Macaca mulatta: one gene and its partners. The protein of the gene in region 3 purifies or fractionates together with the protein of the main gene of each other region. This does not show direct contact. Links are inferred from orthologs where the notes say so. Each region holds a gene or a part of one and is shown on either strand. Other genes may lie near its edges.

Region 1 (5,565 bases), on a different chromosome or scaffold from region 3:
GATCACTTGAGGTCAGGAGTTTGAGATTAGCCTGGCCAACATGGTGAAACCCCATCTCTACTAAAAATAACAAAATTAGCTGAACATGGTGGTGGGTGCCTGTAATCCCAGCCTTCGGGATGCTAAGGCAGGAGAATCACTTGAACTCATGAGGCAAAAGTTGCAGTGAGCCGAGATCGTACTGCTGCACTCCAGCCTGGGCAACAGAGTGAGACTCTGTCTCCAAACAAAAAACAAAAACAAAACTTAGGGCCAAACCGTAACAATAATTTTGTCCCTCTTCCAGAAACAAATAGGTAATGACGGAGATGTGGTTTGATGTCAAAATACAGGTACCTTCTATACATCAATGACTTACAGGGCGAGTGGGACAGAACTGGAGCCATCTTTCTTTTTCTTTTTTTTTTTTTTGACAGGGTCTCGCTCTGTCACTTAGGCTGGAGTGCAGTGGAACAATCCTGGTTCACTATAACCTCCATCTCTCGGGTTCAAGCCATTCTCATGCTTCAGCCTCCTGCGTAGCTGGGATTACAGAAGTGTGCCACCATGCCAGGCTAATTTTTGTATTTTTGTTAGAGATGAGGTTTCACCATGTCCCCAGGCTGGTTTCGAACTCCTGGCCTCAAGTGATCTGCCCACCTCAGCCTCCCAAAGTGATGGGATTATAGGCGGAAGCCACTGTGCCCCGTGGGACTATCTTTCAAAATTCTGGACTAGTATTTATATAGAGGATATGATATGAGGTCTGTAATTTACTTCTGGGGTGGGGGTACGGAGGGTGACAAAGTAACATCAGCAAAATATGGAGGATTAAGTTTATTTATTTTATTGATTTTGAGACAGAGTCTTGCTCTGTCACCCAGACTACAGTGCAGTGGCATGCTCTCAGCTCACTGCATCCTCTGCCTCCCGGGTTCAAGACATTCTCCCACCTCAGTCTACCAAGTAGCTGGGACTACAGGTGCAACCACCATGCCCGGCTAATTTTTGTATTTTTAGTAGAGACGGGGTTTCATCATGTTGGCAGGGCTGGTCTCTTAACTCCTGACCTCAGGTGATCCGCCCGCCACGGCCTCCCAAAGTGCTGTGATTACAGGTGTGAGCCACTGTCCCCGGCCTGATTGAGTTCACCTAAGAGCTCATTTTACTATTTTTAAAATTCAGGATCACCCCACTCCAGGAATTCCCAATTGCACTGCATTTATGTTTCTATCCATCTGCTAAAACTGAGCCCATGGAAACCAGAATTGATTGCTTATTCATCTCTGATCCTAGCTCCTAGTACTATTTATAGTTCTAGTAGGCATGCTGAATAAGCAAGGATTACAAAGAGTTTGGTGGTCAATGACAAGTTTTGAAGCTATAGTAAGGAGAGATGGGACTATATGAATACAAGGTATTGTTTGAGGGAAACAGGCAGTGGGAGAAGTGGAAAATGGAGGCAGGAGGTATAAGTTGAAACCAGGATAGTAAACTAGGGAACTAGTCAAACAGCTTAGGTATAAAGGTAAAGTTTAGATTTAAAATAGTAGAATGAGGAATAGAAAAGGCTATGACAGCTATAAAGCAGGAATCAACAGGTCTTAGAGAGTCTCACCTGCATTTAACAAAGGTAATTTCCAGAAATCAAAGCTGTGCTAAACATAGACTAGAGTCCTCTCACAGATGTAGAAAACCCCAGCTCACCTCATCATAGATACTCTCAATCTCATTGAGTAAGCTCTTAGACCTCAGGACCTTTGTGTCATTCTGTTTAAAGTTGATCCCCTGGTGGTCCAGAGACTTCAAGTAGTATTTCTCATTTTGTTCTCGCCATACTTTGTTAAAGCCTCGCTGAGCTTCTCGCCATTCTTCCTCTTTCATCTTCAACCTAGTGAAGTGGGAAGGGATGGAAACAACATATGGGAATTCAGAGGGTTTAGAAGAAAGAAATTTGCCAGGTTTACTTTCTTTCAAGAAAAGTCAAAGCTATATTAGGTCTGTCAAAATTATTGGCAACTTGGGATGTTATCAAACCAGTCTTGAACTCTGTTTCATGAGGAAATTACTTATCTAAGACTTATTTTGGGGAAATGAGTTATCTCAAAGTCAAATAATTTACCTAGAATGGTTACTTATCAAACAGCATTCCAGGGAATACCTTTGAGATGTAAGTATTCCTTGCAAAAAGAGTTCTTGTTTCTCTGCTGTAGGACTTTGTAAAATGTTCACAATGCTAATAGAAACACAGAAGTCCAAGAGCAGAGAACTTGCACAGTTATGTTCCTCTGGATACAGTCTGGAAAGTTCTGATCAGAACTGATTCTAATAAACCAGAAGAGAACAGGCTAAGACAAAAAAACAGCACTAAAACTGAAGAATAACCTATATTTCAAAAGCCAGAAGTTAAATACTACAGGCAAGAAGAAGAAACCATCAATCTGTGCCAGCTCTTGAGGGGAAGATGAGGGAGGACAAATAAAATCTGGGTATTTGTGAACTGTGCAGCAACTAAGAATTAGTTTTTACCAGATGATACTGAGAGAACCAAGCTCCTAACAAAGGATTTACAGTGTGGTCAATAATGACATGGGGCTGGGCATGGTGTGGCTGGTGCCTGTAATGCTAGCACTTTGAGGAGGCCAAGGCAGGAGGACTGCTTGAGCCCAGGAGTTAGAGGCCAGCCTGGGAAACATAGCAAGACCTTATCTCTATTAAAAAAAAATAAAATAAAAATTAGCTGGGTGTGGTGGTGTACTCCTGTAGTCCCAGCTATTCAGGAGGCTGAGGTGGGAGGATCACCTGAGCCTGGGAAGTTGCGGCTGCAGTAAGCTGTGTTCTTACTACTGCACTCCAGCCTGGGTGAAAGAGAGAGATCTTGTCTCAAACAAACAAACAAACAAAAAAACCACAAAGATGTTAACAACAGTTAGTCCTGAGCGTGGCAGGAACATGGGTGGTAATTATCTTCTTTTCTGTATTTTAAAATACTCCCCCAGGGTTGGGGAGAAAGAGAGGTCTCATGGGACAACCAGGTTGAAAATGAGAGACTTATTTAATGGGACACTGAACCAGTAATGAAGTACACACTAAAGCACTAAGGGCACATTTGCTCAGGTACCTTTTAAGGACAATCGGAACAGCAATGGAGGGATTCTTTCTCAGACCATCAATGATGTCAGCTGCTTTATCAGCATATATCCTCTGGAGTGCTTTTCTATGGATGACTTCTGATGTGCCCCCAAGGGTGTTGTCCAAGCGAAATTTGGCTTGTTCCTCAGCAGACAAGCGGGAAAGCTTCTTCTGTATTGCTTCCAGAACCCGGATTGTTGCCAGATTGGTCTCTAAAACTACATCAAGCTGAAGAGGAAGACAAAGAAGGGTATGCTCAGGACCCAAATCAGAATAGAATAGAGTAGTGATTAGAAAAATAAGGTAGGGAGTCAAACTCCTTGGATTTGAATCCTGGTTCTGCCCTACTAGCTACATAAGACTGTTTCTTTATCAGCAAAATAGGGATAACAGCACCTATTACTCTCACAAGCCTATTTCTGGATTAAATTATACAATCCACATAAAGTATTCAGCACAATACCTGGCACATAAGAACCACAGGATGAAGCTGGATAAACGGTAGTTATCACCACCACCACCTGCACCGTGTGCTTTGCTTAAGACTACTGATCTTAGACCGGAGGAACCTAACAAGAGATGACTTTACTGATACTTTTCCCTGAACTTTCCTGAATTGCTAAGATCCGTTATGAACAAACAATAACAATCAAAACAATACCAAAAGACGGCTCTGTCTTGAGAGTTTTTTTTTTAACTTGAAATATTTAAATATATTCAAATACTAAAATACTCAATAGCCTTGTTCCACATCCAGTAATAATAAGAGCAGTGACTATCATACCCTAAGGAGTTCACTGTTGTATCTGCGGGTAATGATTTAAATTCTTATTGGACTCCTAAATGAACAGTCTACAACCAAATGTTTGCAGAAGTGTTCCCTAAATTTTCTTGTTTTGGAAATGTGGTCATCATTTTGTCAATACTTCTGGCCCCTCTTGCTCTCCAATTACCGACAAAAAATGGACTAACTTCCTGACTCCCTTATGATTGGATAGGGTCATGTAACTAGTTCTGACAAATGAGTTGTTATGAGTTGAGAAGAAGTAATGTTTATCACTTCTAGGCTGGAGCATTTAAAGGTGTGAGATCCTTCTGAGATCTCTTTTCCTCCTAGTGACTAGCAACAATCATAATGGTGGCAATCCCTTGGCCTGAATCCCCAAGTGATTCTGATATGCCAAATCCCCTGCTAAACATCAATGTACATGTAGAATGATTAGAAATTAAACCCATTGGCTTTACAAGTCACTCAGATGTGGGAGCTGTCTGTACTGAAGCATTACTAACCTATCTTAATTGGTAAACATGTTCCTTCAAACTCGCTCATCCCACCAAATCTTAAACACATGCTTACCCCACTTCTTTCATCTTTGCCCTTGTAGTCATAAATGGGAAATGAAGTTGCCTCTCATTTGGAAGCATACCAGTTGAGAGGGGATAGGAACATTCTGTCAAAAACAGATGCCAAGCTCTGCTAACTCATCAGCTAACCTTACTAAACATAAGTAACAAAGAAATGCTTGGTTTTTTTTTTTTGAGACAGATCTCGCTCTGTAGCCCAGGCTGGAGTGCAGTGGCGCAATCTTGGCTCACTGCAAGCTCCGCCTCCCGGGTTCACGCCATTCTCCTGCCTCAGCCTCCTGAGTAGCTGGGACTATAGGCACCCGCCACCGCGCCCGGCTAATTTTTTGTATTTTTAGTAGAGACGGGGTTTCACCGTGGTCTCAATCTCCTGACCTCGTGATCCGCCCGCCTCGGCCTCCCAAAGTGCTGGGATTACAAGCGTGAGCCACCGCGCCCGGCTGAAATGTCTTCTTTAGCTTGATAGCACTCCCTATGGAAGTTAACATCTGTCATGATTTAGTTTTCTGCAAACAGGTGCACTACTTATAAATGCTGGGGCAAAGATGGCCTACCACCTGCCAGTGGCCAGGCAGCATGTGGCTCTTAATTAAAAACACACCAGAAACAGCTGAAGCAAGTGTGAGGATGGAAAGCTGGCAAAGAGCTAAAAGAGTACTTAAAAAAAAAAAAAAAAAAAAAAAAACAAGATACCTATCCATACAAATAAGCACAGCCAGTCAATTTAATGTAATAGATACACTAAATAGGATACATGTCATTTTACCTCTTTAGACAAACCAGACTTCCCTTTTTTAAAATGATAATGTAAACCAGACATATAAACACATTGGGGATTTTGAGCCCACTTTCAGTAGTCCCCCTCCTGATACAGGTGGTATGGGGCCCTCTACCACCTCATTTATTCACTCCACTCTTTCCTTCCTAACTACTTCAAAATAAAGTTCCTGGGACAGGCGCAGTGGCTCACGCTTGTAATCCCAGCACTTTGGGAGGCCAAGGCAGGTGGGTCACTTGAGGTTAGGCGTTCAAGACTAGCCTGGCCAACATGGTGAAACCCGTCTCCACTAACAATACAAAAAAAATTAG
Region 2 (5,565 bases), on a different chromosome or scaffold from region 3:
CCTTTAGGTATTGCCTGAAAGGAGCACAAGAAAACTATAAATGTTCCAAATCTTTAGCTGCATAGTGAAATTCATTATGTTATACCCTTAAGATTTGCATATACTTTATATGCTGTGTCTCAATAAAAATTTTAAAATAAAGCACAGTCCCACCTCTGTTCTGCTCAACACCCTCCCTGGCACCCTGCATGTTAACCAACTACTCTCATCAATGCAGGTTCTGTCAATTCTAACCTTGAAAATATAACTCATGCCCGGTGCAGTGCTCACGCCTGTAATCCTAGCACTTTGAGAGGCCGAAGCAGACGGATTGCCTGAGCTCAGGAGTTTGAGACCAACCTGGGCAACGTGGCAAAACTCAGTCTCTACTAAAAATAAAAAAATATATATATACATACATATATATATATATATGTATAGAGAGAGAGAGCCAGGTATGATGGCGCATGCCTGTAGTCCCAGCTACTCAGGAGGCTGAGGCAGGAGAATCGCTAGAACCCAGGTGGCAGAGCTTGCAGTGAGCCAAGATCGTGCCACTGCACCCCAGCCTGGGCGACAGAGCAAGACTCCATCTCAAAAAAGAAAAAAAACCATATATATGTGTGTGTGTGTTGAAATAGCTGGGTTGTGGCTGTTGTTCTTCATTGCCACCTCCTTCACCTTAGTCTGGGCACCTAACCAACACCATGGCTTCCTAACTGGTCTTCCCACTTCCATCCCCATTCCCCCATCCAAACTTTTCTCTATTCAGCAGTCAGAATAGTCACTTTCAAACACAGATTGGATCATGTCACTTTCCTGCTTAAAATCCTTCAATGGTTTCCCATCATGTTTGGAATATAATTCAAACTCCTTACCAGGGTTTAAAGGCTCTGCACAATCTCACCATGGCCAGCTTCTTGGACCTCACCTCAAACTACCTCCAGCCTGCTCCCTGCATTCTACTTCGTCAGCTCATTCCTGCTACAGCCTTTTTTTTTTTTTTTTTTTTAAAGAAACAGTGTCTCACTCTGTTGCCCAGACTGAAGTCCAGTGGCATAATCATAGCTCACTGTAACCTCAAACTCCTGGGCTCAAGTGATCCTCCTGCCTCAGCTTCCTGAGTAGCTAGGACTATAGGCATGCACCATCATGCCCAGCTGATTTTGTTTTTTATTTTCTGTAGAGATGGCTCTTGCCACGTTGCCCAGGCTGGCCTCAAACTCCCAGCCTCAGGCGATTCTCCCACCTTGGCCTCTCAAAGTGTTGGGATTATAGGTGTGTGCCATTGGGCCCAGCCCTCAGAGCCTTTTGTGGGCCTTTGTCAATGCTTGGGACAGGCTTCTCTCTGCTCCTCTTATGACTCACTCCTTCTTAGTCTCCAGGTCTCAGCTCAAATTTTACTTCTTCAGAAAAACTTTTCCAAATCATGCTATCTAAAGTAGGTCCCCCATTGTATCCTGTGTCTCAGCTTTCTTTTTTCTTTCATAGAATCTATAACAATCTATTTCATTTGATTATTTATTTTTTGTCTGTTTCCTAAACTGTGAACTCCACAGGAGACTCCTCATTCCATCCCCATGATGTGGTACGATGCCTGGAACATAATACGTACTTAATAAAAATATATTGTGAATGAATGACCATCTAGGGAACTCTGTTCAAGATGACATTTCTAGTTCAAGTACAATTTATAGCTACTTTTGATTTCCAAGAAGAGATGAGGCCCATTCCCCATCTACCCCCACCCACGTACTGAAGTCCAAGGCCACTTGAAAACCTTGCGGAGAAGAAGGAGAGCAAGTCTCACCCATGCCCTCGGATGCTGAGGTTAAAGCAGCCCAATCGATCACAGCCCAGAGAGTCAGCTCCACACTGCAAAAAGCAAAAGCCCAGGCAAGTGCAGTGAGATAACTGATCAGAACATCACAGATACCCCGTCTATCACCAACCTAAAGAACCTCCTCTTCCCTTGTCCTCTTTCCCCAAGCCCAGGCAGAACACTCCTGAGGAGGAACTGACAGTATTACCTGGAGCACAATGCACGTGGGTTGGTAGAAGTCCACTACCTGGTTGATAACCGGCTGGAAAAGGTGCTTGTAACCTGGGAGAGGGCCAAAGATGGGCACCTGGCACCCCAAGGGGATGGGGAGACAGGGAACAAAAGGAAAAAGGGGGTTGAGCGAGCATGTAGCCCAGGAAAGGGGCAACCCAAAAGAACCGAATCATTGGTCTGAAACTTCTGGAAGGGATCCCAGACTGCTATGGGCGACTGATGAAAGCCAATGACTTTTCCCAGAAAAATGCACATATACATGATATGTTGCATACAATTCCCAGGGATTCATGGTCCCTCTGAAGGCCCTTCATCCTTAAGGACACCTGGCCCCAACAGCAGACAATACGAGGCAGAAGAGGTTACTTCAAGGAGAAAAAGAAGGGGCCTAGGGAACAGAAGGAAGACTTCAGTACTTACTCTGGTCATCAATGCCATCCCGCAGGGGCACATTCAGACAGTAGTAGCGGCCACTCTCTGCCCCGACTTCATACATGTCACCTATAGGGAAGCGGGTGGTGGTAGCCACACATGGGAAGCACCCACAGCCCAGCTGTTTCAACCCCAATCTGCACTCTGGGAGCCTCTCACTGCATCTATGTAGCTTCACCATAAACTCCCTAGAGCCACTAAATCTCCTGCAGCTCGCATTCATTTGGCAAAGAGTTTTGGGGGATCTACTCTGAGCCAACTGTGTACTAGGCAGTAGGGACGCAGCAGTGAACGGAACTAATGAAATTTACGATATCCCACCAACCTTATATTCTTAGGGAGTAGGCATGAGGAGGGAGGCAATAAACAAAACAAAACAAAAAACCACAATAAACATAAATAGCAGTGAGTGTTCTGAGGGAATGAGGCTGATGTAACAGAGGAATGGGGAAGGAGGTGATTGTGACAACTGGGGTGGTCAGGAAAGGCTTCTCTGAGGAGGGGACACCTGAGATGAGACTAGAAGGCTGAGAAGGAGGCACTCATAGTAAAGAGCTGAAGGGTGCAAATGGGAAAGTAATCCCTATTCCCATACCTGTGCCAGGGAAGAAGTAATTTCCGTATTTGTGGAAGGACACCGTCATGACCCGGTCAGTGAGGTAGAAAGCTTCCTGAACCCCGTCACCATGGTGGATGTCAATATCAATGTAAAGCACCCGAGGGTGGTACCTGGAGGGAAGCCAAAGCCAGGGTCTGAGCTAGAAGTGAACCCCTGACCCACTCCTCCCAAACACCGGGTCTCGTTTTGTGAAGAGTCTGCTTCTGCCCTGGTCACCTGAAACTTAATATCACCAGTTCCCTAAAGGCAACTGGGGGCTCCAGGCTAGAGGCTAGAGGCAGGGACAGAAGAGGGATATGCAGAGAAGGCTGAAATGTGAGCAGGCAGCAGGGAATCTGCAGCAGTGGAAGAGGCAGCCTGAATAAAGCATCAAGAACTTGGGAGAAGCTAGTCAGGGAGGAGGGAGGTCAAGGTCAGGGCTGAGTCTGAGAGACCTTCTCAGCCAAGAATCCCATAACTGCCCCCATCTCCTCCTGGGCTACTTACTTGAGCAGCTCCAGGATGCCAATCACAATGTCGTTGACATAGCAGAAGCCAGAGGCCTATGGCAAGACAGTGGTCTCATAAAGAGAGGAGCAATTCCCCTACCCAGCTGCCCCCACCATCATCCTAAACACCTACCCGAGGATGGCCACTGTCTTTCCCATCAACTCCTCACTCACCTCAAACTTCTTGGCATGGTGCAGACCACCAGCCCAGTTAATGGCAATATCACAGATCTGAAAGACAAACACCCAAGTCACAGTCCTTCCTGCCCACCCTTCAAGCTGGGAGCCCAGGATCAGGGTTAAATCCCGAGTCCAGGGATCTAGAGGAAAGGAGGAACAGGACTCGGGACTATGTCACCTTGTTGTTCAGCTGGGTTGCTCCTTGCAGAGATGCGCCTGTGTAACGCGAGCAGAACTCAAAGAGCCCGGGAAACACTGGGCTGCAGGGAAGAGGAATAAGTTGGAACCCTCCTGCCTCTGTCTGGGCCCTTCCCATACCTCCCTCCCCACCCCAGATTCCTCCAATCTCCATTTTTCAAGAGCCTTCTCTCCCCCTCCTACACACCTGTGCTATCTGCAAATTTATTCAACAAATATTTTGGATCAAACCATGTACCAAGCCCTGTGCAAGGCACTGGATGGGAAGTAAAGAAGCATTTAACTGTCAGGGAATTTGTATCCTAGCTGGGGAAAGAAGCAAGCAGCTTCCAGGTACTGAAGTACAATGTTAAAAGGAAATCAGTTGAAAGAAAAGATGAGCTCTGTTTTTCTTAGTCTCAGTGTAACACATTTTAACATAATGTTCAATAATATTCTTCACAGTCACACATTTTAAAGAAAGAATTGTATACCTACATATGTGAAACGGTGATGAGATAACCCACGAAAAGCCTGTGGCACAGTATACGGTATCTGCTAAGCCTTTAATAAATGTCAGTTATAATTATTACCATTGTTATTCTTTATAAAAAGCAAAGGCTTGAAGCCAGACACAAAAGGCTACTTACTGTATGACTCCATTTATGCAACATTCTGGAAAAGGTAAAATATAAGGACAGACATCAGATCAGTACTTGGCTGGATGTAGGTTGGAGAGAAGATATTAACTACAAAAGGGTGAGTGACCTTTGTCAGGTAATGGAAATTTCCTATACCTTGATACTTTTTTTTTAAATAGAGACAGGGTCTCACTATGTTGCCCAAGCTGGTCTCGAACTCCTAGGCGTAAGTGATCCTCCTGCCTTGGCCTTCCAAAGTGTTGGGACTACAGGTGTGAGCCATCGGCGCTGGCCCTACACCTTGATATATTCTATCAAAACTCTCTGAACTCTTACACCTAAAAAAGGTTAATTTTACTGTATGCAAGTTATACCTATATAAACCTGACTTTTTAAAGAGGAAAGGCTTAGGCAATCCCTAGTTTTAGGTCTCAAAAAAAAGAAAAATAGTGCAGCTGACACATTTGACCATGTGAAAAACAGAACTGTAGGGGCTTTTCGTTTATTTGTTTTTTGAGATGGAGTCTCGCTTTGTCACCCAGGCTGGGGTGCAGTGGCCTCACCGCAGCCTCCGCCTCCTGGGTTCAAGCAAGAATTGTAGAGTTTTACAGTTTCTCGAAAGGTTTGGAAAGAATTAGAGATTAATACCTAGAAAACTAAGCAAATGAAAAAATAATGCAATTGTCAGCTCCAGGAAAAACAAAAAGCTTTAGAAGAAAATAGATTAAATCACACTACACTATTTGGCTTGATAGTAAATGAATCTTTCAGAGTTGTAATAATGTAAACATAGAATACTGATTTATTTTTAAATTATTATGAAGCTGAAAGGGGAAAGGAAGCCAACGTGATGGTGTAAGAAGACTAAATGCTCACATCCCATACTAAGAGCTTAACAGATACTACCTAAAATTGACAGATGAAGAAATAGCAATGAGACAATACAGGAGGGCAGTATGATTACAAGCACAGATTCTGGAGCCAGACTACCTA
Region 3 (6,159 bases):
GAAGAAATCAAAACATATCCTGAGAATAAGCTGTCAAGACATGGGTGGGAGGAGCCAACGGCAGCCAGCGAGGGTGGAGGCGGGGCCTCCCAGGCCACTCCTTCTAGGAGAAGTGGGGTCTGGGCACTGCGGGTCCACGCCCACCCTGAGACCACACTCCCTTCTCATGTGTTGCCCCCGTGCACAGAGACACGCACATGGCTGTCCTAGGGAGACTTAAGGGGATCCTGCAGCCCAGAACTCCCAACCACACAGTCACAGAGCCTGGGGGCACGCACTGAGCGAGGGCAGAGTCCCTGGCTGCCACCCCACGTCAAGAACACAGAGCAGGAGACGACACGGGCAGGATGGGTGCCCACCCCCAGGAGCATGAGGAGAGGAAAGCCCGCAGGAGCTGGTGAACATGCAGGGAGCCAGGCGGAGGCCACCACTGCCAGGGCCAGGCTGTGGCTGCCACTCAGGCCTGGAGGACCCAGTCACTCACACCGTAAACGTCGTCAGTATGGCTTGGGAATTCCTTTTTAATCAATAGATGAGATTTCAGAGCTGTGCTAGGGAGGACTTCAAAAGGGAAAGGCAACTTGGAGCCATCCGCTGAGATGACCAGGGGGAAAGCTTGTCTGGCCCGTCTCCATGGCGGCCCAAGGACCCCGGCGCTCACAACCGCCGGGAGGGAGAAGCCGGTGGCCTGGGCCCTGCTCTGTGTCAGCTGTGACGAAGAGGCCCTGCTGGCCACTCCAATGGCCCCCCAACAAAACCCAGGAAGACAGAAAGACTGCAAGCACATACATGACCCACAGTCGGACAAAAACAAACGCAGACACACCCTGCTCAGCCGAGATCCTCTGCCGTCAGCTCTGGAGACAGTGATGAGTGTGTCCCAGCAGCTCAGGCCTTGGCCACAGGTGACCCACTATGCAGCCTGCCCGAGCCCACCAACCACCCCAGCGACACGTGGCTTCCCCCAGCCATAGGCACTGACGAGGGTGCGGCCACCCCAAAAAGAAAGACCCCAGCCCACAGGGAGCGCCATCGGACCCACCCCAGCCAACTCCCCATGTGACATGAAGGGTCCCAGCCTGTGAGGTCTGTCTGCAGCTCTGCCACGAGCATCCGTCCCCAGCCCACAGGTCTGCAGGCAGCTGCCACCTGAGCCCTGGCCTGGCAGGGTCAGAAGCACCCCTGCACACACACACGCACACACACAGGCACACGCACATGCACCCTCCGCAGCCCCCTCCACGCAGAGGCGACAGTCCCTCGCTTCCATCCACAGCCCCTCCTCCCCACGATCTGACACTCTGCTGGAGGGGCGCCCAGAGAAAACCGGGCTGGAGCATCTATTCACAGATTCAGAAAAAAAAAGTTTGATGCAATAGCTGAATTAATTAGGCCTCCCAAGAATAGCTGAGCCAATGCAGCATTCTGTGTGTGCAATTTAATAAGCCTGGATATTTAAAAGAAAAGTTACACATACTTGGGGAGGTATGCAACGGAAAGTTCCTGAGGACCCCACTGAGTAATTTCGGCGCCTCGTGGCCTGGGAGCTGCCCATGCCGGATCCCGTAGATCCTCCAACTGGCAAACTACAAAGCCAGGCCAGCGGCCTCCCTCCCCGGCGCACCCCTCTGCGTTTCAGAAGGAGAGAAGGAAATGGGTGAGTCCAAATCCCAAGCCGCCAGTAACTCCAGCATGTGGGCCCAGGGGCCTGCTGACCAGGCCCTCAGCCGGGTGCCAAGTGGCCCTCACCCCACACGGGGCACTCTGGGATTTGGTCCCTGGCAGGCCCAGGGAGACCAACCAGCACAGTGCTGGAGCCGCCCAGTCTCAGGCCCCTGTCGCTGCAGCCTGAACACCTGGCTTCATTTTGTGTCTCTGTCCCAAAACTTCAAGGCAACAAACATGGACCGGGAGCCAGTAACAAAACCAGGCCTCGTCTCGCCCAAGCTCTGTCTCCTGGGGCCCAAGGGCAGGCAGCCCTCCGTCTTCGAGGCTGGGTGCCTTCGGGGTGAGGGCAGTCACCTCCACCCCAACCCCAAGGAAGACCTGGGCCTGAGGCATCCGGCTGGGGCCCAACTGGAGCTAACTTCCCTGACCTCGGAGCAGGCCGCTTTCCCGGGAGCATAGGAGGCCTGTGCCTTCCTATCCTATCTGGGCAAAGGCTATGGGCCTGTGGGCCTTCCCCACACACCAGGCCTAGCCCCCACCCCACCGACACAGCCCCCACTCCAGGCTCCTCCTGGGGGAAAGGGCAGGAGGGCCTTCCTACTAAACCCTCTGGCCCTGCCAAGGGGAACACTCTGAATTTCCCTAAAACAAAGCAAAGACTTGACACATGGGGCACGGCAGAAACACAGGTCCCAGCCTTTGGAGACCAGAGCCTGTGGCCCAGAAGGGTCCCCCACCGCAAGCACATCCACCCCTGCTCCCAGGCCTGGGGCCACTCACCCGGGGCACCCGCCGCTTGTACTTGTTGCCGTAGTCGAACTTCTCCTTCACGTCGTCCAGGCAGCGACCGAGGCGCGCCTGCTCCTCCTTGCCCGTGTAGTCCTGGCTCAGCAGGATGTAGGCCCGCCAGTTGGCCGAGTCGAAGCCCCAGTGGCAGGTCCGGTTCTCCAGGGCCTTGTGCGAGTGCACCACGAACTTGTGCGGCGGGTACATGAGGCGGCAGTCCAGGCACTGGATGCAGGCGGCGCTCGGGCTGCTGTAGAGCTCCGGCACCAGCAGCCCCTTACACTTGCCGAAGCACTCGTGGTACACGCGGACGCTGCGCTCGCTGAGCTCCAGGCCCAGCGCCAGGCTGGCGGCCAGCTCCTTCTTGCAGGGCGGCGGGTAGGCGCCGCCGTAGAGCAGCGCGTTGCACAGGCGCTCGGCGTCCGTCTTGGTGATGAGCCCGCACGAGGGCGCCGAGAAGGGCAGGATGCCCATGACTTTGAGGATCTCCAGCTGGTCGGCCGTGCAGCGCGAGCAGTAGATGTGGAGCTCGTCGCACACCGAGTTGATCTGCTGCAGCGAGAAGTCGCGCAGCACCGAGTTGAGGATCTGCGGCAGACACAGACGCTTCTCGCCTCCCACCACGAAGCACGAGATGGTCTCGCCTTCTAGCACGGTCTCGCAGCGCTCAGTGGAGCGATCGGACGGCATGAAGAAGGGACCGGGCAGCACGGGCGGCGGCGGCTGGATGGCGGGCAGGTGCAGCACGGGCGGCGGCTCGGTGGCTGCGGGCACCGGCGCCGGCACCGCGGCCGCGCCCGCCTCCTTGGCGCTCTCCTTCTTGTAGGCCTCCTGCGCCCAGCGCGCCGAGAAGGCGGCCGGGCCGCCCAGCGAGCTCATAGAGCTCAGGTGGAACTGCTCCAGCGTCTTCTGCAGCCCCGGGTGCGGCTGGAAGCAGCCGCGGCCGCCTGCCGCCGCCTCCATGGTGCGCTCCGTCTCCCCCGGCCGCTCCCGCTCCCGCGCGCCCGGGCCCCCCCGGCCCCCGCCGCCGCCCCGCGCGCCCCGGCGGCGCCCGCGGCCCCGACCCCGGCCGCCCCCCGCCGCCGGCTCACGGCCGATCACGGCCGCGGCCTCGCCCGGGGGCGCGAAGGGGAAGGCGGGCGGGGCGAAGGGGTCCCGCCGCTGGAGCCCGCCGCCGCCCGGGCCCGGCGCCACATCCACGCGCCCCGCGCCGCGCCCGCCGCCGCCCGGGCCCCCCGCGCGTCCCCCGCGCGCCCCCCGGGCTCTAGGCGCGGGGCATGCCCCGGCGCGCGCCGCCAACGCCAACGCCAACGCTCGCGGGCCCGGGGCTCGCGGGGGGCGCGCGGGCAGGTGCCGGCGCCGCGAGGCGCGAATCGCCGCGGCGGCCGAGGCCGAGGGGCCCGGGAGGAGCGGGGGCGCGGGCGCGGGGCCCGCCGGGCCGTCCTCGCGCGGCGCGCCGCCGCCGCCCCGCTCCTCCCACCGCGCGGCGCCCGCCCGGCTCGTCCCGGCGGCGCTGGCCGGCCGCGTCGCGCCCGCCGCCGGCCCCCGGCCCGCCCGCCCGCCGGCTCCGCGGCCCGCCCGCCCGGCTTCCGGGGCGGCGGAGGCGCCTCTCGCCCGCGGCCCTCAGAGCGCGGCGGCGGCGCGGGGCTCGGGGCGCTCGGCGCACATCCTCCCGGCGGCTCGCTCCGGCTCGGACTGAGCGCCCGGCGCTGAGCTCACGCCGCCGCCGCGCCGCCCCGCCCCGCGCCGCCTGCTCCGCCCCGCGCCGGCCCCGCCCCCCGCGCTGTTTGTTGCCGTGCGTCCGCCTCAGCCCGAGCGCTGGCCAAGAATGTGACCCGCTCCCCAGTCGGGCTCTTCCAGGAACGCGCGCTCCCCGCCCGGACTCGGCCGCGCTCGGCTCCGCTCGCCCGGGACTCGGCCACGCTCGGACCCGCCCTGCCACGACTCGGCTACTCTCGGCCAGGACTCGGCTCCGCTCGGCCATGCTCGACTCCGCTCGGCCCCGCTCGGCCCCGCCCGTCGAAGGCCGCTCGGCGCGGGCGGAGGCGGAGGCGGCGGTGGCGCCCGGGGCCCCCCTTCCGGCCGAGGCCGCTTCCTGCGCGGCTGGGAAGGCGCCCGTCTCGCCGCCGCCGGGGCCCAGAAACCCACAGGCCCCCGCCACGACCGCAAACCAGCTGGGGGAGGCCGGGGGGCCACGCCACGCAGCCGGGGTTCTCCCAGGGTGGGACGCCACACAGCGGGGAGGCCCCGGACGCCTCTGGGGTCCCACACACTACCGGGACGCCACACGGTGACCTGGGGGTCACCACACACGAGGGGGACAGCGGCCACGCCCAGGGACCCCGCGCCGAGACAGGCGCCGCGCCGCGTGACCCTGGCGGCGCAGCCCAGCGGCCCCCGCTGCCCCGTGGCCCGGTGGCCGAGTGTCCGCGGCTCCCGCCCGCGCCAGCCCCGCCCCGCCCGACGGCCCCGGGCGGACTGTCCCTGATGCGCGGGCCAGGGGTTTCGGGCCTGAGAGGGGCGGCGTCGGGTGCCCCCGACGCGGCCGGTTTGCCAGCCACCCCGGCCAGGTGGCTTATCAGAATTTCGGTCCCGCGGGTCCCGGCGGGCAGGCCGGCGAGACCCTTGCCCTCCGCCCCAGGGCCTCGGAGCGCTGAGACGGCTTTCGGGGCCAGGTCGGCCCTCCACGCCTGGCCACGCAGTGGGAGAGACCCAAGCCATGGCAGGGCGGGAAGCGGGAAGCCCGGGGCCCCGAAGTTGGACAGTCGGCCAGGTGGTCTCCAGGGGAGGCAGCGTCCAGCGAGGCGTGCGGGCGCGGGGACGCAATGGTCGCGGGGCTGAGGGCTCGGACTGTGCTCACCTGAGGTGGAGAGACATTCCCGACGGGCCAGGGGTGCCCAAGCTGGCCTGGGTACTGCAATGTGAGTGACCTTTAGCTGGGACCTCCTGCCCCTCACTTCCCCAGTGGAGGCTGGAACCAGCCTCAAACCAGCACGCCTGGGCGCAGTTCCTACCCTGGGGGAGCCGGCCCAGCGCCCCTGTGCAGGTCTTGGCCCGACCTGCGGCAGGGCAGGTGTCTGGAGAGGGAGCCAGGACCTACCAGCAGGTGACCCCCAGCAGGTGACCCCAGGGCAGCTCCATACTCCCTCTCTCCGCTGCCTTGGGGTTTGTCTCCTTGTCATCACACTCCACGCTGTCCCCCGACTCTTCCCATTGACTCTGTTGGCCCCCACAATTGGAGGCCAGGCCTCTCTGTGCGTTCACACATCAGAAAGCTGGGTAAGAAGATCATTTCCTTAAAAGGGATATTTAACCCGGCAGGGTGGCTCACGCCTGTAATCCCACCACTTTGGGAGGATGAGGCAGGCTCATTGCTTGAGCCCAGGGGTTCAAGACTAACCTGGGAAATATAGTGAGACCCCGTCTACCAAAAAAATATATATTTTTTTTAATTAGCCGGGCATGGTGGCCTGCACCTGTGGTCTCAGCTACTTGGGAAGCTGAGGTGGGAAGATTGCTTGAGCCCAGAAGGTTGGGGCTGCAGGGAGCTGTCCTTGAGCCACTGCACTCCCTCCTGGGTGACAGGGACACACCCTTTTTTTGAGACAGACCCTGTCTCTAAAAAAAAAAAAAAGGCCAGGCACTGTGGCTTACCCGTGTAATCCCAGCACTTTGGGAGGCCAAGGCAGGCAGATCAGGAGGTCA
Region 4 (5,565 bases), on a different chromosome or scaffold from region 3:
TGGGTAACAGAATGAGACCCTGTTTCAAAAAAAAAAAAAAAAACATAAAGAATTTCATAATAATCTTACATTAATGCCAAAAAAGGTTTTATATTGCACAAAATAGCAAAAAAAAAAAAAAAAAAGTTTAATGGGCTCAGCTTATCAGTCAAATGACATGCTTGCTCCTGAAACATTTTTTTGCATAGTTCCTCTTATCCCCAGATCACCCCTGTCCAGGGTAGAAGCACTCATTTCTCAGATCTGGAAGTGTTGGCAGCCAACTCTCAGCTGTGTCTGTCTCTTCAGGACTATCCTCAGTTGAAAAGAGTCATCTGACCAGAGTCATATCCAGCAAGTTGCTCCATGTGAGGGTACAAAAGCCCAGCCCTGTAGGCCCAATTTGGGACAACTCCACAGGCCCATAGCAGCTCCAGAGTTCCTCAGGAATGGGAGAGACCTTGTTGCCACTCTAACACAGTCCAACTTTCCTCTCTGCCCAATCCTGCTGTTTTCATTCTCCCACAGGTGCTGATGTCAATAAACTTTCTGCATGTACATTCCCACTTCAGAGTCTTCCTCAGACAGACTGACGGCAACAATGCCTCACATTATAGCTAATTGCATCTGTCTGCTCCTATGCTAGGATGGAGAACCCTGCGGAATACACCTTATTCATCTTATATCCAACACAGTGCCCACAGTGCCTCGCACATAGCAAATATACAAAACATTTGTGGAATTAAGTTATTTTCTTAAAACAGGTTCTTAAAATGTTTTGGTTTCAGGACCCCTTTATATGCTTAAATATTAAGGATCTCAAAGAGCTTTTCTTTTTGTGGGTTATATCTTTAATGCATTAGAAATTAAAACGAGAAACATAAAAGTTGCGATTAGTCCATGTAAAAATAAAATACCATGCCATTATTAAAAACAACATTCTTGTAAAAAAAAAAAAAAAAACTAGTTTCCAAAACAAAAATATATTTGTGAGAAGAGTGGCACTGTTTCACACTTTTACAAATCTCCTGAATGCCTACCTTGACAGAAGACAGCTAGATTATTATAGCTTACTCTGCATTACATCTATTGTGGTATGTTCTTCTGGTTGAGATAAATGAAAAAAAAAAACCTTGTTTCACACATATGTGTAGCACTACTTTGATCGCTTTGGATCACTGTGGAAACTCCTCCTCAATACCACACCAAAACTGACTTTTCAGTTCTGGCCAAAACTGGTAGTAGTTTTCTAAAGGTTGGTTGCAGAGCAAAATCTGAAACTTTACCATTAAACTTTTTGTACCCTGCTACATTAAAATCCATTTGTCTGTCTTGTACTTTGAATGACTCTTTTACTCATGCATGCTTTTGTAGGATCATACTTAAGACCTTTCAAATGTGACAGGCTTGCTTCATTCACTTAAAAACATGGCTGGGTGATGTGGCACACAACTGTAGTCCCAGCTACTCAGGAGCCTGAGGCAGAAGAATCACTTGAGCCCAGGAGTTTGAGTCCAACCTGAACAACACAGCAAGACTCTGTCTCTGAAAAATTTAAGAAAAAAGATTAAAAAAAAAAAAAAAAAAAAAAAGACTGCCAAAGACCTGAGTGTGGGTAACTGTGTTAATGATTCTTTCAAGTAAAACCTATTCCATGGCTGGTGTGGTGGCTCACACCTGTAATCCCAGTACCTTGGGAGGCCGAGGCCGAGGCGGTGGATCGCCTGAGGTCAGGAATTCGAGACCAGCCTGGCCAACATGATGAAACCTCGTCTCTACTAAAAATACAAAAATTAGTTGGGCATGGTGGCAGGTACCTGTAATCCCAGCTACTCCAGAGGCTGAGGCAGGACAATTGCTTGAACCCAAGAGGTGGAGGCTGTAGTGAGCTGAGACTGCACCACTGCACTCCAGCCAGGGGACTCCGTCTCAAAAAAAAACAAACGAACAAAAGAAAAAAAACAAGAAACAAAAAAAGTATTCCATGATAAAAAGTGACTAGCTAGCTTATAACTCAAAACAATATGCTTTTTCTCAAGAAAATTACCATACTTCGACAAGAAACTGAAGTGCTTTATGTGGATTTCCTATTTTGTCAAATTATTAAGATGATGTGTACCGAAAAGTCAAGATGTAATAAAACTAATAATTTTAATGTTTCATCAAGAACATCCGTTTTTTAAAAAGCATTTTGGAGAAATAGAGTCTAGCTGTGTTGCCCAGGTGGGTCTCTAATTCCTGGCCTCAAGAGATTCCCTCCACCTCAGCCTCCCAAAGTGCTGGAATTACAGATGTGAGCTACCACACCAGGTCGAGAATATTCTTTCTTTCTTTCTTTCTTTTAATTGAGACACAGTCTCGCACTGTTGCATGGGTTGGAATGCAATGGCGCAATCTCGGCTCACAGCAACCTCCACCTCCTGGGTTCAAGCAATTCTTCTGCCTCGGTCTCCCAACTAGCTGGGATTAAAGGCACCTACCACCACGTCTGGCGAATTTTTTGTGTTTTTAGTAGAGACAGGGTTTCACTCTATTGGTCAGGCTGGTCTTGAACTCCTGACCTCGTGATCTGCCCTCCTTGGCCTCCCAAAATGCTGGGATTACAGGTGTGGTTAAGTAAAACTAGCATTTCTTAAACTGCAAGGGTGTGGTGGTGAGGAATCCAGCAAGTATCTGTGGAATTTGTACCACCGCCCCGACTTGTGTAAAGGCTCTAGCAGTTTAATCCACCACTGTTTCTGGACCATCTGTACTAATATCAATACAGTGGAAAAGGCTCTCAGGATCCTGTGAGGTTCACACACCACACTTTCAAAACTGCTTCTCTAAAACAGAGTTACTGCCAATTGTGATATCTTTTGAAATACCAATTGCACTCTTCTTCAGAAAGACAAAAGTTCTTTTGGCTTTAAATATCAAGAACCAAACAAGTTAAGGGGAGGTGACTAATGCAGTGCATACTTCAATAACAGACAGGGCCAATTTCCATACCTGACACTGAGAGGGGACTCCACGGAGAGCCCCAGGAGGGCACAAGCATCCCGTGTAAAGATGTCACAGATATCAGCCCACTGGTTTGCATCAAGTAGGTGAACATACGGTGAGTTCTCAATCCCTTGTCTCAGGTACACAAGGCTTCCCATCAAAACCTGAATGTCTAAAAAAAGTACCAGCAAGAAAGCATTAGTTTGCTTGCAGTAATAAGCTGCGAAAAGCAAGAATACCCCCACCCATACTGATACAGCCTAAAATAATGTATTAACAGGTCTTTAAAATTCTGGTCCTTAAGCTGGGTTTCTTCCTTCATCTTAAACAGCATGGAGAGAAAAGGAAAGGAGTGAAAATACTGAACTTATAATTTAAATTCTTATATACAGCATAGTATAATTACCATTACCTACAGGAGTAACAATTATGTCATCACATTATCTCTGATTGCAGAGTTAATGTATTCCTACACAAATACGTGGGGTTAACATTTGCTGCCTTGGCTCTCTGACACTTTGTTGTGGCAAAACAAGCAGCACACAGCCAGGTTGGGGTAGACGAGAGCAAGTGCACACCTTGCTCTTTCTCAGATCTCCTCTCAGTTTAATATGGAATTCCAAAATCTGCAACATCTCTGACTTCTAAGAGGCTTTAATATTTTTGTTTTTGTTCTAGAGCCAGTCAGAGCTTTTCCTGTGATTATCAACTACAACTGTTTACTGGCAAACATGTATTAGCTCTAGATAAGAACCATTAAGTTGGGCTGGGCGCGGCGACTCACGCCTGTAATCACAGCACTTTGGGAGGCTGAGGCGGGTGGATCATGAGGTCAGGAGATCCAGACCATCCTGGCTGACACAGTGAAACCCCATCTCTACTAAAAATACAAAAAATTAGCCAGGCATGGTGGCGGGCACCTATAGTCCCAGCTACTCGGGAGGCTGAGGCAGGAGAATGGCGTGAACCCGGGAGGTGGAGCTTGCAGTGAGCCGAGATCGCGCCACGGCACTCCAGCCTCGGGGACAGAGCGAGACTGCGTCTCAAAAACAAAAAACAAAAACAAAAAACAAAACAAACAAATAAGAACCGTTAAGTTATAGTGGTGGCTATAGCCCTGTTTCAAACATTAATAACATCTGACTCCAGACTCACCTTTTTGATGATTCAGGGCAAATGGCTGAAAATTTTTAGCATACTGTAATGCCTCTCGTTGATTTGTGGTTCCACCCATTAACAAGCTAATAAAGTACAGTCTGTGTAGCTTAAATTCCAAGGAGCTGTTTTGAGCTATAAGCATTTCCCGGTTTGATACTGCCCACCTAAAGAAAAGGCAAAAAAAAACTTTAAGAATAATCAAAAGCATAAGCAATGTGTCTTAAAAACTATTTGAAACGCAGTAAACAAACAGTTTAACAACGCAGTACCTGTAACGCAGTAAAACAAAACGCAGTAAAACAAAAAAGGGGCTTGGTCTGCCATCTTGTGGAAGTCTATGGTAACATCAATCCCTAGGGCCCAGACTTTTGTCAGGAAAGTAACCACCAATAACTACACCTGCAGAGGCCCTTCAGCCAGTGAAAGAAAAAAGCATTAAAGCAGATGACAATCACTAGAATGACTCTGATGTGTCACATGATGCATCTGAACTTGCACAGGACCACACTTTGAAGCGGTGTCAGCCGTGAGATTCACAATTAGATTGCCTAGATCCACTGCCCTTTTCCTGTAAAACTGGCCTGATATATACAAGCATGAATCAAAGATCCTGAAAGGCAACTATACTTTTAAACTTTCAATAGTTGCAAGATTTTGTGTTATTCACTTTGGGATTAAAAACAGTAAATACCGTTATTTCCCCCTAAGGTGCTTTCAGTCTGATCAGGAAGATAAAGCTAGACAAATATCATACAGTAAATCTTACTGTGCAAAATGATTTGTACAAACATAGTTCTAGTAAGGGAAAAAACAAGATTCTATTTTAACTGAGCCAAAAATACAGCACCTCAGGCTTCTACAGAACAAACAGTTGGAATAATCAATCTTGAACTGGTACTACCAGGTCAGGTGAGGGCAAAGGCAGGAAAATATATAGTTAGCTGTTAAAATCAAATTTTGCGATAAGGGAATAAGGAAACATTACTTTATTTCTCTAAATATATTAACATATAGAAGCTGTTAGCATTATATTATTTAATTTGACCATCAGTTAAGACAAATACTCCTCACTTAACCCAATTCACCAAAGACCACTGGAATCTGAACTGGGTAAGAATATAAAATCTGAGTAACTCCACCAACTACAAGAGTAAAACCTTTCAAGTTATTTATAATGAATTTGCTGATTGGGATTGGACTTCACAGAGCTGCACTTTTACCGGGTCCTAACCTTCCCAGAAAGGGCTGCACATGCAGATAAACATTCTAATTAACTTGCTGATGTATTCACATCTTACAGTCAAATCATGACGCTTCTCTGACTTCAAAGTCAGTGATTTTTAAAAATATTAATCATCTGGATCTTGGAAATACTTACCTAAATTTGTAAGCCTTGGTTCCTTGCCTGGCACTAAAATGATGCAGTCAAGTGGCAACACCAAG

The links. The genes of interacting proteins can lie anywhere in the genome.
Region 1: the proteins of SKI (region 3) and SIN3A purify together in Homo sapiens (affinity purification with western blotting; 3 studies listed by BioGRID and IntAct, with this or other methods). This does not show direct contact. The link is inferred for Macaca mulatta from reciprocal best matches to the Homo sapiens genes SKI and SIN3A.
Region 2: the proteins of SKI (region 3) and HDAC3 purify together in Homo sapiens (affinity purification with western blotting; 4 studies listed by BioGRID and IntAct, with this or other methods). This does not show direct contact. The link is inferred for Macaca mulatta from reciprocal best matches to the Homo sapiens genes SKI and HDAC3.
Region 4: the proteins of SKI (region 3) and RMND5A purify together in Homo sapiens (affinity purification with mass spectrometry; 3 studies listed by BioGRID and IntAct, counting the BioPlex papers as one, with this or other methods). This does not show direct contact. The link is inferred for Macaca mulatta from reciprocal best matches to the Homo sapiens genes SKI and RMND5A.

What each region holds. Positions count from the first base shown.
Region 1 is NC_133412.1:53,435,710-53,441,274, forward strand, and holds part of SIN3A (paired amphipathic helix protein Sin3a), read right to left. Parts: intron 3,340-5,565; coding exon 3,101-3,339; intron 1,871-3,100; coding exon 1,687-1,870; intron 1-1,686. UniProt on the Homo sapiens protein: Acts as a transcriptional repressor. Corepressor for REST. Interacts with MXI1 to repress MYC responsive genes and antagonize MYC oncogenic activities. Also interacts with MXD1-MAX heterodimers to repress transcription by tethering SIN3A to DNA.
Region 2 is NC_133411.1:150,470,596-150,476,160, forward strand, and holds part of HDAC3 (histone deacetylase 3), read right to left. Parts: intron 4,015-5,565; coding exon 3,933-4,014; intron 3,806-3,932; coding exon 3,749-3,805; intron 3,629-3,748; coding exon 3,573-3,628; intron 3,197-3,572; coding exon 3,063-3,196; intron 2,537-3,062; coding exon 2,456-2,536; intron 2,084-2,455; coding exon 2,010-2,083; intron 1,855-2,009; coding exon 1,790-1,854; intron 1-1,789. UniProt on the Homo sapiens protein: Histone deacetylase that catalyzes the deacetylation of lysine residues on the N-terminal part of the core histones (H2A, H2B, H3 and H4), and some other non-histone substrates.
Region 3 is NC_133406.1:238,450,047-238,456,205, forward strand, and holds the start of SKI (ski oncogene), read right to left. Parts: upstream 3,682-6,159; 5' UTR 3,418-3,681; coding exon 2,449-3,417; intron 1-2,448. UniProt on the Homo sapiens protein: May play a role in terminal differentiation of skeletal muscle cells but not in the determination of cells to the myogenic lineage. Functions as a repressor of TGF-beta signaling.
Region 4 is NC_133418.1:26,268,739-26,274,303, forward strand, and holds part of RMND5A (E3 ubiquitin-protein transferase RMND5A), read right to left. Parts: intron 4,287-5,565; coding exon 4,120-4,286; intron 3,137-4,119; coding exon 2,971-3,136; intron 1-2,970.